2 linked regions of the Oreochromis niloticus genome follow. The protein of the gene in region 1 purifies or fractionates together with the protein of each later gene. This does not show direct contact. Links are inferred from orthologs where the notes say so. Each region holds a gene or a part of one and is shown in the gene's direction. Other genes may lie near its edges.

What was found. The genes of interacting proteins can lie anywhere in the genome.
Region 2: the proteins of arcn1b (region 1) and copz1 fractionate together in Homo sapiens (co-fractionation; 5 studies listed by BioGRID and IntAct, with this or other methods). This does not show direct contact. The link is inferred for Oreochromis niloticus from reciprocal best matches to the Homo sapiens genes ARCN1 and COPZ1.

The regions. Positions count from the first base shown.
Region 1 is NC_031979.2:1,083,040-1,086,793, reverse strand, and holds the start of arcn1b (archain 1b), read left to right. Parts: upstream 1-1,116; 5' UTR 1,117-1,518; coding exon 1,519-1,521; intron 1,522-3,469; coding exon 3,470-3,733; intron 3,734-3,754. UniProt on the Homo sapiens protein: Component of the coatomer, a cytosolic protein complex that binds to dilysine motifs and reversibly associates with Golgi non-clathrin-coated vesicles, which further mediate biosynthetic protein transport from the ER, via the Golgi up to the trans Golgi network.
Region 2 is NC_031984.2:19,116,542-19,120,295, reverse strand, and holds the start of copz1 (coatomer subunit zeta-1), read left to right. Parts: upstream 1-913; 5' UTR 914-1,051; coding exon 1,052-1,069; intron 1,070-1,536; coding exon 1,537-1,605; intron 1,606-3,118; coding exon 3,119-3,200; intron 3,201-3,287; coding exon 3,288-3,379; intron 3,380-3,754. UniProt on the Homo sapiens protein: The coatomer is a cytosolic protein complex that binds to dilysine motifs and reversibly associates with Golgi non-clathrin-coated vesicles, which further mediate biosynthetic protein transport from the ER, via the Golgi up to the trans Golgi network.

The DNA.
Region 1 (3,754 bases):
CCCATATGAATGTTGGATTTATGTCCCTAAGAACTTTCTGAATATCTAAAAGTGTTGCTGCCACCAGCATCTTGCTTACACGTGCATTTAAATTAAATAAAAAATGCTGTCTGCTCAAACTGTCTGCTTAAAATGTTGCACCTCGTCTATAAGCTATCAAACCCATTATTTTCCATAAACTAAAATATTTCATACTGCACTCCTCCACCGATGCAAATAAAGAAGTCTGTATATTTTTAACTAAATGATCAAAATATTAACATACTAATTAATGTCAAATATAAGTGAATATTATTATGTTAATATTAGCCAAATAAAACATGCTAGTGCAAGGCAATTTTCTTCTTCTATATCTTTAACAATTTAATAATTATCTCCAGTAACTAATCTTCTGTCTGGCCATTAATCCCACAGCCCAAAGTTTAATTGGATAACTCTTTATTGTCCATGCACAGTCACACCTACTACGATAGTACAACAAAACAGGAAGTTGGAAATTGATTGTATGTGTGAACGTTGTCTGTCTGTGTGTGTGTTAGCCCTGTGACAGACATATCCAGGGTGCAGGGTACCCTAACCCATCATAGCTGGAATAAGTTCCAGCCAGTCGTGGAACTGGATAAGCAGAAGAATGGATTGTTGGAGTAAATGTTTACTTTTCTTTCTTTAATGATAATAATAGAAAAAAAAAACAGAATTCAACATGTTTGGAACTTAAACTTAAAAGAAAAAAATAAATTCCATAATATATCTGCAACATGTTAGTACATTTCTCACATGCTTGACAGCTTACTTATCGGTAGTTCGGTGCCCACCCCACCTCCACCCCCCGTCATGTGATAAATGCCCAATGAGAATATTTATGTTTACAATTAAGTTTTAAAATGTAACATAAAGAAATTAAGGACAACAAAGAGAAAAGCCTAATTGTATCATATGTTGCATTAGATGGGATGAATTTGGTGTTTTTGACGATGATGGTGGAGAGCACTGCCTGCACTATGAGGACTGTAGCATATAATTCTTTTTTTATACGACCCCCCCGTGTGCTCTGTGGGTGAAGGCGTTTTCATCCCGGAGACCAGTCCCCTCAGACGTGAAATGCTATCACTCAGAACTACTCTGACAATCTCTCTGGATAATATTTATGTGTTTGCCAGGTTATTGATACGCTGATAAACGTTAAAAGTAATCGCGTGAAGGTAATTTGTGGTCAGTACCGCACAGAAGTCTAAAGAAGAAAGAAACGCCGGTGGAAGTAATCTGAGTAACTTCTTTATGCAACAAGGCCAACATTTTGGGGCCCACGTCATTGGTTTCCACGGTGGGCTGATCCAGCGCGGCTCTTCCGGTGGAGACGTGGCTCTGTGCTGCTGCCATATTGACGCTAACTAGCTAACAATCACACAACTAGAAGTCAGCTGTATATTCGCACCTTGCCATTCCAGAGGGACGAGGAATCACCAAAGCAAGAAACGCGAGAGACTGACGACCGTCGTGCCGTAGAGAGAGACCACAATGGTGAGTGACAGTCGAAAGTGACCATTATTTCCCTGCCTTTTATCGGGCCTAGCAACTATCATAACATTGGCTAGTAGCTAAAGCTAGGTATGAGAAAACTAGCTTCTTCCCTTTCATGAACGAAAGAAGACAAATAATAAACGGTTCTTTTTTTATCGGAGCCACAGTGTTAGCGACATGTTCAGGTGCTAAAATCGAGTAAATGAGTCGTCAAAGTCGAATTTCACCGGAGTGAAGCGCTTTAGCTGTGCAGTCCGTGCTGACGTGAACTAGCTTTGGAGGCTAGCGCTAGTTGTCTCCTGTCAGTAGCCGGATCCGTGCAACCACTGCCTGCTGTCAGACTGTAATAAGCCAGGTTAAACCGAGCCCGGCTCTGCGACAAACCCCAACTATAGGTACAACTGTGTTATTATAGTTAGCTAGTGTCGACGACTTCGATAACCAAAGTTGCTGCTCGTCTTTATCGAGTTCACATCGGTGCGATCGGGTCTTCCATTTCTATTGTCAACGTGGAATCAGTGCAGTTCCTTCATTCATTTAGCACAGCCACATAAAGCGTCCGTTTATGTCAACCATTGTTATACTCATTATATTAAACGACCCCCGATTCTTTTATAAGATCATTTTCCATTGTGCTAACATCTGCACTAGCTGTCGTTGGCCTTACCAAGGACCAGCTCAAAGTATCTGTGAGCTTTAGCATAGTTTTGCTTCATTCCAAGCAAAACGTGTATTCTAACCAAAACCTAACTTTCTGGTTCCCACATTCAACATACATGGCGTATCTTCTCTCATACTGTCTTCTTGCACCAAGTCTGAAACTGGTAGGAGGCTTTGAAGGGTGTGAGTACATTTGGAGTGAATTGCTCGCTTTATAGGTAAAAGATGAAGATTGTTGAGATTTGTTCAAGGCTTTTAACTGTCCCAGCCCCTTAAAGTGAAACCTGAAGAAGCTGGACTTGTAAGATTCGCTCACCTAAGAGAAAGGCAAACAGCAGTTAGTTCATGTGCTTTTAGTAACGTCCTCAAACAACTACAGCCGTGTGTAATCAGGAGAGCACCAATATATCAAATGACAAGTACTCTTGTCTGGTTTTTCTGACTTCACTGTATCGGCTAAGTATCAGAATCAGCTGATATTGACCTAACTGAGTGTAGGCCACATCAGGTTAGCATTGGATAATGGCTGACTTAGACTTCTACAGTGGATCTTTGAAGAGCCAACGATGTAACCTATGTAAGTGGCCACTGTTATCAGCATTTGTGTGCTGGTGCATTATGTGTTAATTACATTGTGCTCGTTTCTTGGGTTTTATATGTGGTGTCAGCTATGACGAAAACAAATAAGACTTTTTGCTCCTGAGTCTCCACTCCTCAATGTGGTTTTCCACTTCTTTGTACATTTCCTCGTGTTCACTCTGATAGTTTCATCAATCTTCCTCCTGTAATTTGGTGAAATGTGTGTTCTTATTTACTATGATTATTATTCCTTATATGTAGATGATGATTGATATTCTCTAAATCAAAGACTACAGCAAAAAGTAGCACAAATTCACAGGAAGGATCAGTGGTATTGAACAATCACAGTTGTTTCTGGTTGTGTCAACGTAACGTGTTGTTGCATTTTTAGACAGGAGCACGTCAGGTTAAGATGTAGGGTTTCCAAGTAGTTTGCAGTCACAGTGTACCTATGTTGTAGATTTCCTGCTGATGAATGAATCCTCAGCAAGTGTGATGAAGATCTGTTTTTTGGTTGTTTTGTTTTTTTCTTGTTTCTTTGGAATAGAAAAGAAAATTTTACATTAAAAAAAAAATATTGAATTTTGACATTCGCTGACCTTCCTGTTGTTGTTATGAGCATAGATGTTGGTCCGATTAGTGCATCTTTAGTTGTAATAGTTCAGGTCTGTGGGAAACTAAAGCAGTCAAATTCCTCTTTACCCCTCAGGTGCTGTTGGCAGCGGCGGTGTGCACCAAGGCCGGCAAGGCCATCGTATCGCGGCAGTTTGTGGAAATGACCCGGACACGAATTGAGGGTCTCCTAGCTGCATTTCCTAAACTGATGAACACGGGCAAGCAGCACACCTTTGTGGAAACAGACAGCGTTCGCTATGTGTACCAGCCACTGGAGAAGCTCTACATGGTCCTTATCACCACCAAGAACAGCAACATCCTGGAGGACCTGGAGACACTCAGACTCTTTTCCCGTGTGGTAAGCACACACAGGCAGGTT
Region 2 (3,754 bases), on another chromosome or scaffold:
AAATAAGTTTAACTTTGTGATGAGATGGCATGACAATATCAGGCGATATTTTAACCTTTTAGTATGAGCTAGTTCAAGGCAGTATACAGTTTCCTCTCTGGTCAAGGCAATTTTGAAATCGTAGTGGCTAAATTTGTGCAAGCATACTGCAGTGTTGCAACATTTCATAGTTTCCCACAGTCCTCTTGTGAACACGCATAAGAATAGTTGGTATCTCCTCACAATACACGTTCTGCAGTTAAATAATGGCTGGACATTATTTGCTTTCCAGTGATATTTGAAGCCCAAAAATATCCTACAGTAAGGCCAAACAATGATGTAATTTATGGAGTTAGATAGAGGGAAATCCCCATCTGCCTGTGTTTCCAAATGCTTCCCAGAAGTGGGAACTAAGATAATTGGAGTTGGTTAAATGTAGGAGGATACTGAAAAAAGATGTTGATGAGTACGAGCAAGCTAAAATGGCTTGTAAAACGAGAGATTTCTGGTTACCACTAAGTCCTACAAAAACAGCAACCACCTTTAGTCATTAGGTTTAATTACAGTAAGCTCTGCAGGGATGTGAACTCTAAAATAAACATCCTGACTTACACGTGTTTTTTTTAAGAAGTTCATACGAGCTACTAAAGGCATTTACATGTTTGGATTTACGGTTTCAACCACGAATGAATTTAGGTTTTATTGTAAGTCTAATGGGGTTAGTAATCTTCATATTTTACACAGTAACAAGATACAGTCCGAAATTACAGTAATAAAGTTAGTTAATAACTTGTTTAGCTTTACGTTTGGGCCATTAAAAGGTTCAGACTTTCCCGACTTAAAAGGCAAATGTGTTATAACTACAGGCGAGTCTGAAAGTACTTCTTTATTAACCACATCGCTTTTGAGTTTCAGCTCTTTTGTGGCTGCTTGCTCTGCAGTGAACTGATCTTTGCCCTGCACGCACAACATACGGCACTGCGTCAGCCAATAGGAAAGAGACTCATTTACTGTACGTAATACGTAGCCTAATGCTGCTAGCCCGGTAGCTGGTTTGCTAACAGGAAAGAAGATGGATTCTCCCATACTGGTAATGTTAGCCCATTTATTTATTTCTGACGATGTAAAAGCCACGAGCGTTACCTCGTTAGTACTTCACATAAGTATTTACTAGCAAAATGTTTCTCGCAGTTTTGTGTTGTAGAGTCATTTAGAGAGCAGTCGAATAAACTCAATGCTAACTACAGTGAACGGGTTGGCCGTGTTAGCTAAGGAGCTAGCATCTAAAGTTAGCTCGTATGCGTTTGTTGATGATGTGGAACTGTCATGTCTCCTTCACGATTTGGTGATTAAGAAGTCTTTTAAATAACATTTAGACTGATTTTGTGACGCCAGTCGACACCCAATTTATTCAACTTACTTGCACGTCCACCGTCGCCTTTTTGATAGTTCATGTTTATTATTTAACATACGAGTTGCCACATATTTAAAGAATTATTAAGGTGAATTCGTTCCTGTGTAGGATAAAACAATGCCTAACGTGTGCTGTCTTCACAGGAACCTTCCTTATACACGGTGAAAGCTGTTCTCATTCTGGACAACGATGGAGACCGGCTTTACGCCAAGGTATGAATTTCAGACATCTGTGACATCATGTTACTTCGTTATTATTAACGCCGGTGACATGCCAAAAAGTGATCTTCTGCGAAACTGTGAATACTGGACAAAAATCATTGCTGATATTTAAACGCTTGTAAATTAATTATTGGCCTATAATCTGTCAAACTCTTGTGAATGGTATCAAGTCATTTTAAGCCTGAAAGAAAATTGTCGTCACAAGGTAATTTACCTGTGGTCAAAATGTACTATTTTCACTACAGGCTGTTTACCAAAGTAAGCAATGATATTAAACATTAAAAAAACACCGGAAGTCACTGTTTGACACAACAGGTCTCTGGAGCCAGAGCATGTCTGGAGGTGGTCACCCCCTGCCTGAAATATGATTGCTCCCCCACCAATGATATTGGACTACAGTACTGTTAATCTTGCAGTGCCCAATACCGTGGAAGCATGTATAGAAGCAGTAGTAATGTAACATTTACTTGAGTACTTTAGTTTAGGGTTTAAAGTATTTGTACTTAATTTAAGCATTGCTCTATCATGCTACTGCTCTTACGCTAATAAATTTTGGATGCAATTATTAGAATTTCTACCCTTTATTTTTTAAGCTTTAGTTTGTAATTGTTTTGCAGGTTAATTGCATTATTATAGATCAAGTGGTACTGCAATATATAGGTAATTAAAATCAATAGCTTGAACATTAAAGAGATACATATGAATGTCAATGGATCCATAATTATGATCCAGTGGTACAGATATAGTACTGTTAATGATTTTGAAAAGTGCTATTCAACATAATGAATATGCTTACTTTATGTTTTATGAATATATTTTTATTATACAGTTCATGCAGTATAAGCTACTTAATTATTATTATAAGTTTTACTTTATAAAAAGTCTAAATACTTTTTTTCACGTTGCGAAAGGATTATCCAACACAAAGGTATAATTAAAGTTTTGCACAGCACTACTTTATCCATAATAATTATGTTACAGGACACAGGGTTGCACATTAGCCTGAAAGTCACCCAATGTTTTGGGGGGTTTTTTGCCAATTTTCTGCACTAATTTTAATTCTGATTAAATATTCTGAGTTTGTGCAGAGGGGCCCACAGGAACTTGAAGAAAAATCATAGAAACACTCTTGCTCTGAAGTTAATTTTCAGTTAATAAACCTCTTTTTGCCACCCAAAAACCCCCCACCAAAAAAACAAAAACACTCTGCCTGATTCTGTAAATGCTCACATAGCTACATTAAACACAAAATTCAACCCATAACAAATGCTGTATTTTTTCCTGATTAAAAATTATGTGCTCAAACAGCTCCCAGTTACTTTAGAAAAGTGTAAACCTTTAAAATGTGTATGACTCACTATTGTCTCGTTTTCTCATTTTGGGTTGATTGTTTGCAAGAAAATGACATCCTCTACCATCATCTAATAATACAAATGAAAACTAGTGAAAATTATGTAACCTTTAGACTAATATCTAAATATGACTTAATTTCTAATTTCTGCAGTATTATGATGACACATACCCAACAGTGAAGGAGCAGAAGGCATTTGAGAAGAACATATTCAACAAAACACACAGAACAGACAGTAAGCAATCTTTACACTGTTAAAAACAGTTACTTTGCCTCAATACATACCTAATATCGAGCATGGTTGTTTTTTGTGCCTCTTTAGGTGAAATAGCACTACTTGAAGGCCTCACTGTTGTCTACAAGAGCAATATAGACCTCTTCTTTTACGTGATTGGAAGTTCACATGAAAATGAGGTAAGTTTAATTTTAGTTTTTGTAATGAACCCTTTTTAAGTAGGAGTTGAAACTTGCTTATGTTGTGCTGAGGAAAGTGACAGCACATGCCGAATATGGATCCTGCCTCATCATCCAGTCTGTGAGAGCCTGAGAAATGGTGTGAATCACAGTACATGAGCAAGTTTTGACTAGTATTGTTTTGCACTTGGAACATTATAATTGCACTAAACCACATAAGAAGTTTTCACAAGTAAAGTCCAGAAAATGCCAGGTGAGGCCTGTGAAAAAGCTGCCCGTTCTCACACGTGGCAGACAACTGGAAATAAACAGAGTCATTTGGTTCCTCATTACTTGAAACATTTCTAAAACCACGCATGGAAAAAATGTCTTAAT